Linked DNA regions of Schizosaccharomyces pombe. Changing the gene in region 2 together with the main gene of any one other region gives a genetic interaction. Each region holds a gene or a part of one and is shown on either strand. Other genes may lie near its edges. The genes, in order: ubc6 and akr1.

Evidence for each region.
Region 1: mutations in akr1 (region 2) and ubc6 together harm fitness more than expected from each alone (negative genetic interaction), as found in Schizosaccharomyces pombe (one large-scale study listed by BioGRID).

What each region holds. Positions count from the first base shown.
Region 1 is NC_003424.3:1,214,065-1,217,582, forward strand, and holds ubc6 (ubiquitin conjugating enzyme Ubc6), read right to left. Parts: upstream 1,885-3,518; 5' UTR 1,865-1,884; coding exon 1,838-1,864; exon of another isoform or gene 1,798-1,837; coding exon 1,659-1,797; exon of another isoform or gene 1,575-1,658; coding exon 1,057-1,574; 3' UTR 724-1,056; downstream 1-723. Other genes in the region: RCC domain-containing protein Ats1, read left to right, coding at 1-717; RNA-binding protein Vip1, read left to right, coding at 3,107-3,518. UniProt on the Schizosaccharomyces pombe protein: Catalyzes the covalent attachment of ubiquitin to other proteins. Functions in degradation of misfolded or regulated proteins localized in the endoplasmic reticulum (ER) lumen or membrane via the ubiquitin-proteasome system.
Region 2 is NC_003424.3:548,969-552,900, forward strand, and holds the start of akr1 (palmitoyltransferase Akr1), read left to right. Parts: upstream 1-1,799; 5' UTR 1,800-2,042; coding exon 2,043-3,932. Other genes in the region: gep3 (GTPase-like protein), read right to left, coding at 1-1,275. UniProt on the Schizosaccharomyces pombe protein: Palmitoyltransferase specific for casein kinase 1.

The DNA.
Region 1 (3,518 bases), 670 kb from region 2:
TGTGGTGAAGGACTTTCCGGTGAATTGGGTCAAGGGAATCGCAGTAATAGTCAAGGTTTGAGGGAAATTGACATTCCTTACCTTGACGATAAAGAGTTCATTATTGATATCTCGGCTGGATTAAGACACTGGATTTGTGTTACAAATGAAGGGAACTTGTATGGTTGTGGAGATGGCCGCAAAGGACAACTTGGACCGGTAGTTATGAAAACAGTTAACAAGGTTTCATTTCTCGGGCGTATTGAACATGCTCAAGCTGTTGTATGTGGTGTACAGTTCAGTGCAGTATTGCAAGAAACAGGACATGTAATTGTTTTAGGAGGGGAGAAGTGGAATGTAGCAGCAGAATGTGATGCTTGGCAAGCAAATAACAGTGAATTGTCTTCTTCCATCTGCTCTATATCAGCAAACTGGTCTACCTTGAGTCTATTAAGTACTGAAGGCTGTGTCTATGCTTTTGGTCGTTGTGATCGTGCTCAGAAGGCCCATACAAAAGCAAGTGATATCGTCCAAATCGCCAGTGGAACTGAGCACAATATTTTAAGGACAAAGAAAGGAAGTGTTTTAATATACGGTTGGAATGAGCATGGAAATGCCTCGAATGATGATAAAAGAGATGTTTATGATGCAAAAACTCTTCAATTACCAGGCTGGGCCTATATTGTGGCCGCTGGATATGCAACGAGTTGGATAGTGATTGAAGAAAATCACAAATAATGAATTGAGTAACTAAAATTTAATTTTATTTTCTACCGAAATGTCGAAGCTTTAATAACATTTGACGACATTTAAAAAAATGTAGTTTAGTAAGCTAAAAATCAAGCAATTGCTAAGAGACAATTGTCTATAAAAAGAAACTAGAACAAAGATTAACTTCCATTTAGTTTTAATTGAAGCGCGACATGTGATGCAGAGATGAAGGGGCAACAGGCAACGAAAGAAAAAAAATAAACATATAAGGACGGCAAAGCGCTATTTGGCATTAATCTCTTTATCGGAGGATCAAATGCAAAAACGCTTTCATAAGTTAATAAAATAAATACAAAGCATAACATCTTAAGAATCAGCTCCAAAAAAACGAGCTAAAGCAAGGGCAAAAAACACCAAAACTGCTATGCTCCAGCGACTTTTAACCCAGCTTTGCTTTGAATTAAACGGTTCATTCTTCTTGCATTCATTGGAAGATACAGGAGTGGAGTGAATTTGTTGGGGTTCGATTAGGGCCGCTTCAGCAGCTGCTTTGGCAATGTCTTCCCTATTTTTGTCAATTAACTCGGGGAACATTATTAAGAATTTAGGATTATCCATAATGTTAAATCTCTTCGTATCCTTTGCGTAAGTTCTCCTGGTAGACTCCGAAGTTACAATACCTCCAGTGGTAATCTCATCAGAAGTCATGAAAGAAACGAGTCCCACCAGAATAGTAGAAACCATCCATGAGGGATTCCAGGATTTTGGATGGAAGTCAGAAAAAGAAAGACAAAGTCTGGTATTCGTTTGGAAACGTCCGCTTGGAGTAATCATGCGAATTGCAGGTGGCTTAAAAGGATAATCGGGAGGAAAAATCAATGTCCCTGTACGCAAAGTTAGCAAAGGATGGCAACAGCCAAAAGTTCATGCACATATTGATTACAGAAGGAAATTTAAAAGAAACATACCATGATATTGTCCTCCTTCATATGGAGTGTCCGGAGGGCCAGTGATAATATAATGCCATTCCAAAATGTTTTCAGTTGCAGGTTTAGCGTCAACAAGCTCAACAGGGTTTTTCTGAAGAGCTAGATATTCTTTCATTAACTAAAATAATTAGAAGAAGCTTAAAATTATAAATCCATACCCGTTTATAAGCACCTTTCGACGCCATCGTTGTGTTTGTGAAGTTTGTGGAAGTGAGAAAACATGTAACCATATAATCCGCTCACAGTTACATTACCAGGTTAGCGGCTAGTTAGGTGATTCTTGTCTTTTACAAATTCAAAGCACAATCTCTACTAGACTAAGTGTCTTTGTAGGTTAATCAATATAAAACACCAACAAACTCCGAGGTGAGGTGCCAACTTCAAGTACAACGGTTTATTCAAATCACCAATTCGTAAATATAACACAGTTACTTGTAAAAGAGGTTTTCATTTCTATCTTTTGTAGCAATATACCTATGATATTTATGATATTTTATTTTCTCTATACGCAGCTTAAGCCCAAATGTAAAATATAAATATTGTTAACCTATGTACATTGAGGAAGTAAGATCGAGAAAATAGATTAAAAAATGCTTTGAAGCAAGGAAAGCCTTTAACTTATCTTTGTTTTACTTATTGTAGGTCTAACATTTATATTTCTCTTGCCTTCTCAATATACCTGATAATTTTGCTCATTATTCAATAAGAAACAATTTGGATGACTAACATGAGAAAAGGAACAAGCGAGGTAATCTATTCATATATTTCTTTCGCATTCTTTAGAAAGACCGTAAAGGCGATCCAGCAAATTCGGTTTTCTAGAAACATCAGTTTTCACTGTCCGGATATGCCGATATCGGGAAAATTAATGTCGGTCCTAAGTTTATGAATTTATCGAAACATAGTAGAAGCGGAAATTACTTCGTAATAGCAATTTAATGGATATTTTTTCCACAATTTATGCACTTTGCCATGCAACGAACAAAGCCAACTAGTATACCAAGTCAAGAAATCATGAGTACAGCAAAGTATCTAAGTGTTATCCTATTTAGTTTACAGTGACCAATAAAAATTGTATCGTGATATTCAGATAAAAAGATAATTGTCATCTATTTTCAGCTTCATTTTGATTTAGGCTCACTTATCGCGATAATTGCAATCTTTTGAAAACACACGTTCATTAATGTAATATCAGATTTAAAGTATGAAGTAGTGGCATTAACAAAGCAGCACAAAGTCAACTTTCCGTGATATAGGCTAAGGGCAAGTTAGAAATGTCAGGAAATTTTGCATTTTTGTGGTTTTTTCGTTGGGCTCAATCTAATCGTAATTGGGAGGATGTCGTCATCGATGATCACTACTTAAAAGCAGCCTCCATGGCACTCAACGTACTTTGAATCTCCATATTACCAGTTGAAACAAAAGTAATGAGCAACCAAGTTATTGTAACGAACATCTCTCCTGAAGTTACTGAGAAACAAATCTCAGACTTCTTTTCTTTCTGCGGTAAAGTGTCCAACATCTCTACCGAGAAATCTGGAGAAACCCAAACCGCGAAAATCCAATTTGAACGCCCTAGCGCCACCAAGACGGCCTTACTTTTGCAAGATGCTCTCCTTGGACAAAACAAAATCCAAATCACCAGTGAAGATGGTGGTGCTGCTTCTACTACCGATCAAGGAGGTGCTGGAGGCGATCAAGCCGCTCGTCAAGAAGACAAGCCTCGTTCAGCTATAATCTCTGAACTTTTAAGTCGCGGATATCATTTGAGCGATGTAACTTTGGAAAAGAGTATTCAACTAGACCAAAGCTATGGCGTTTCTTCAAAATTCAAGGGGA
Region 2 (3,932 bases):
AGAATGCATCGGCGACGGAGAGTGAGTTACTAAAGGAACATTATCATTTTTCGTAGAATTTTCAAGTGATTGTAATTTTGTTATAGAGGTAATATGAGCGGGAAGTTTTGTAAATAACTTAATCAAAAGAGGTTTCATATTATTGGTATTGCCTTTTGTTTTCTTATTTTTTAAAGTCGAGAACAAAAAGTGTATCGTGGTGCTCGAAGGATCTTCCTTTTTAAACATAATTGGCTTTCCAACTTCATGATTTCCATCTTCATTTATTTCAAAAGGCGTAACACGAACTAGTCCACCTAAAATAATAGACTGACCGAAACGAACACGATACTGAACAGGCTTACTTGTGAGTTGCTTATTTCTAGACCTTGTTTTAGGTACGAGACTTGTCAATAGCTTAGTATCAACCCAGGGTAATAAAGATTTCAAGTTACCACGGTATCCAGGAGTATCAAAAATTAAGCCTTCAGATAATTGCTTAAAACAGGAACCGAAATATTGTGTAGGATACCCTTTTATTGCTTGAGTGGTTCCTGGTAAAAAACTGTCAAGCAAAAGCTCATTAAAAACACCATTTCCCCGTTTAGCCAAAGTTTTTAGCAATGTAGATTTTCCAGAATTTGCTTCGCCTACGACATATACATGACCTCGCGAACATAGCAAGGGATTTATCCTTCCCAAGAGCTTATCAACTAGGTTGAAAGAATGCGATGTGTAAAGCATAGCATACTTTGAAGAAATTCCTAACCCAGGAAACAACCAGTATGGCTTTTTTGGAGGTAATACATCCGCATGCGTAAATAAATGGAAAACTGGGAAATGAGTGTATTGAGTAGCTGAAACAAAATCTTGAAATATAACTTCAGTAACATCTATAACCTGTATTATCAAACAAGTACTTTTATCATTATTCACCGTACTAATGATATCTGGTAGAGTAGTCTGGGGTTCTTGTAACAACTCCTTTGGACGTATGCGAGAATGAAATTTTAAATCATGACATCTTTGGCACCATAATAAATCAGTTCTTCCAATCTCCTTTTCATGAAAAGGAAAACTCGTTGTATTTGGGAAATGCTTTTTTATTTGTGGGTTGAGATTTTTAAAAGCATTATTAAAGATTGCTTGCTCATCGAGATTTTTCTTTAATAAATTAGAAACTGAACCTTTGCTAAAAATGCCACTTAATTTTAGTGGCTTTATATATCCGGTAGCAGACTCGTTCGCGGACTGTAATGTTTGTCCACATCCCCGGCAAAACTTGGTAAAACTCATGGTAGAAATTTAGTTTTATTAAACCCGTTTGGTTTTGTTGTAATAAATCGGCAACAAAAATTTAGAATATCGCTGAAGTAAAGATGTTTAAGGTCTGATAGGATAGAGAAAAAGCTTCAAAAGCTGTTATTATTTACAGAATAAGGTGAATTCGATAAGCTCTAATATTAAGTTAATTGCTTTTGTTAATCATTTCCAAACTCAACATCTATATATTGAAAAGAAAAAGTTCCTTTGTTGGATTTGATATAAGGGAATTTCTCATCTGCTGTGTAACAAACAATGTATTATTTTTAAATGTAATTATCCTGTGCTGGAAGTGGATTGGATTTGAAGCATTTTAAGCCAGCGAAATAGAAAATTTCCGGGGATCAACGTACTAAACACTGGTTTAAGGAAATTTCTTTTTATTTGTATAAAAATAGTAAACGCTCCAAGTATAATTCAGTTTTTGAACACCATTACTGATGGAGTGATAGTATGACAGCAGAATAAAGGTTGCTCGATTCACCACCAATGAATCTGGCGAAAGGCTTGCACCGTACTATAGACACCATTGAACCAGTGTGTCTTTCTACGAGCAAAATTATTATATTTATAATTACTTCTTTTCGTTTTTATTCATGATTGTATGTAATTTTGTACGATTAGGAGTTTGACCACCAGATCTATTCCTATTGTTCTTTCATATTTGCCTGAAATTTGCAACCTCCCGATTTACATTTTGTAACAATTAGTGACCAACAAAATCATTGAACTGCACCTTTATGGGTTCATTATTTTTAGCCGCTAGTCAGGGAGAACTTGACACAGTTAAAAATTTGATATCTTCTGAAAAGATAGATGTTAATGCTACAGATGAAGGTGGAGCAACTGCATTACACTGGGCAGCTCTGAACCAGCAAATTCCAATATGTAAATTTTTGTTAGAACATGGCGCCGATGTGAATGCAATAGGCGGAGATTTACAGGCCGCTCCAATACATTGGGCTGCTAAACGTGGCTCTGTGAAGACTGTTCACTACTTAGTTCAGCATGGTGCGGACCCATTACTCAAAGATAAACAAGGTTTCAATTGTTTGCATTTGGCAGTCCACGCTGCAAGTCCTTTACTAGTAGTATATTTGTTGCATCTCGATATTTCTGTCGATTTACGTGATGATCAGCAGCACACACCTCTGATGTGGGCTTCATACCATGGGAATGAGCCTATAACAAACTGTCTTTTGCGATGGGGTGCAGATGTATTGGCTACAGATGAAGATAAAATGACCCCTTTACATTGGTCCATTGTAGGTGGAAATCTAAAATGCATGAAACTGATTTTAAAAGAGGGAGGCATTCCCTGTACTGCAGTTACCGCTAATTTAAGTGGACAGCTGAAAACCCCTTGGGCTCTAGCGTCAGAACTTCGCGTCTCTCACTTATTTAAACAGGCATTAATTTCAAATGGATTAAAAGTTAAAGAAACCTCTGAAGAACCTGAAAAATGGGTCGTTGTTCCTAGTAAATTTCAATTTTCGCAAAAAACATTTATTATTTTTTGCTTTTTATCGTCCTTTATAATTACTGGCGTCTTTTTTTTTATTATGTCAATTTGCCCAATGGTCATCTCCTTGATAATCGCTCCTTTGTGGATTTACTTTACGTTCAAATATATTACAACATGCATTCATGCGAATATTGACATAGTACATTTCTATCTTGAAACTCCATTCTTGGCTGGCATATTTTCCTCAATTTTCTTCTGGGTATGGTGTCATTCTTTGTTATATATAGTACCTAAGACGTTACCCATAAAACCTCTCTCTTCTCTTTTATTTGTTTTGATTTCATTTACTTGTATTGGATTATATGTTCGTACAGCTTTTCAAAATCCTGGATATGTAGACAAAATTGGTGCCGTCGTTCAACGTCGTGAAGAAATTAGCAAATTATTGGACAAGGATCTTTTTAATCAATCTCATTATTGTTTAAAATGCTTTCAAGTTAAGCCTCCTCGTTCTTATCATTGTGGAGCTTGTAAAAGGTGTATTAATCGTTATGATCACCATTGTCCTTGGACTGGAAATTGCGTAGGGGCACGGAACCATAGAACATTCCTTCTTTTTGTCTTCACATTGTCTACTTTAATTCCTATTTATTTTTACGTTGCATTTTATTATTTACAGAATATCCCCATTCAAAAAAAATACGAGTCGTATAGGTGCCTTTTTATTTCTGGTACCATATGCCAGTGGTCTTTAAAAGACATGTTTGTGTTAGTTGCTTCTCTAACTTTGTTTGTGAATTGGTGTTGGGTAGTTGTTTTAGCTTTTACCCAGATTTGTCAAGTTGCTCACAACGTGACCACAGCCGAATTCCGACTATTTAAACGATATGGAACTCTCGTTCCTCCTACAAAGCAAAATTCATCTCCAAAAAATGGTCACGGAATTCATGGAAGCTTTCTACGTACAGTATGTGGTATCCTGGGATTGGATCAGTGTATATTGTTAATTAGAGAATCAAATTGCTTTGTGAGATGTTTCCCATCGAGAGCTGAGTTAGGTTCCCAAAATTCTACCTCTTTGTCTCGTAATCTTTCCACAGTCAATCCATATGATGAGGGTAGCATAATTAAGAACTGTAAGACATTTTGGAAGCAAAACTTTCTT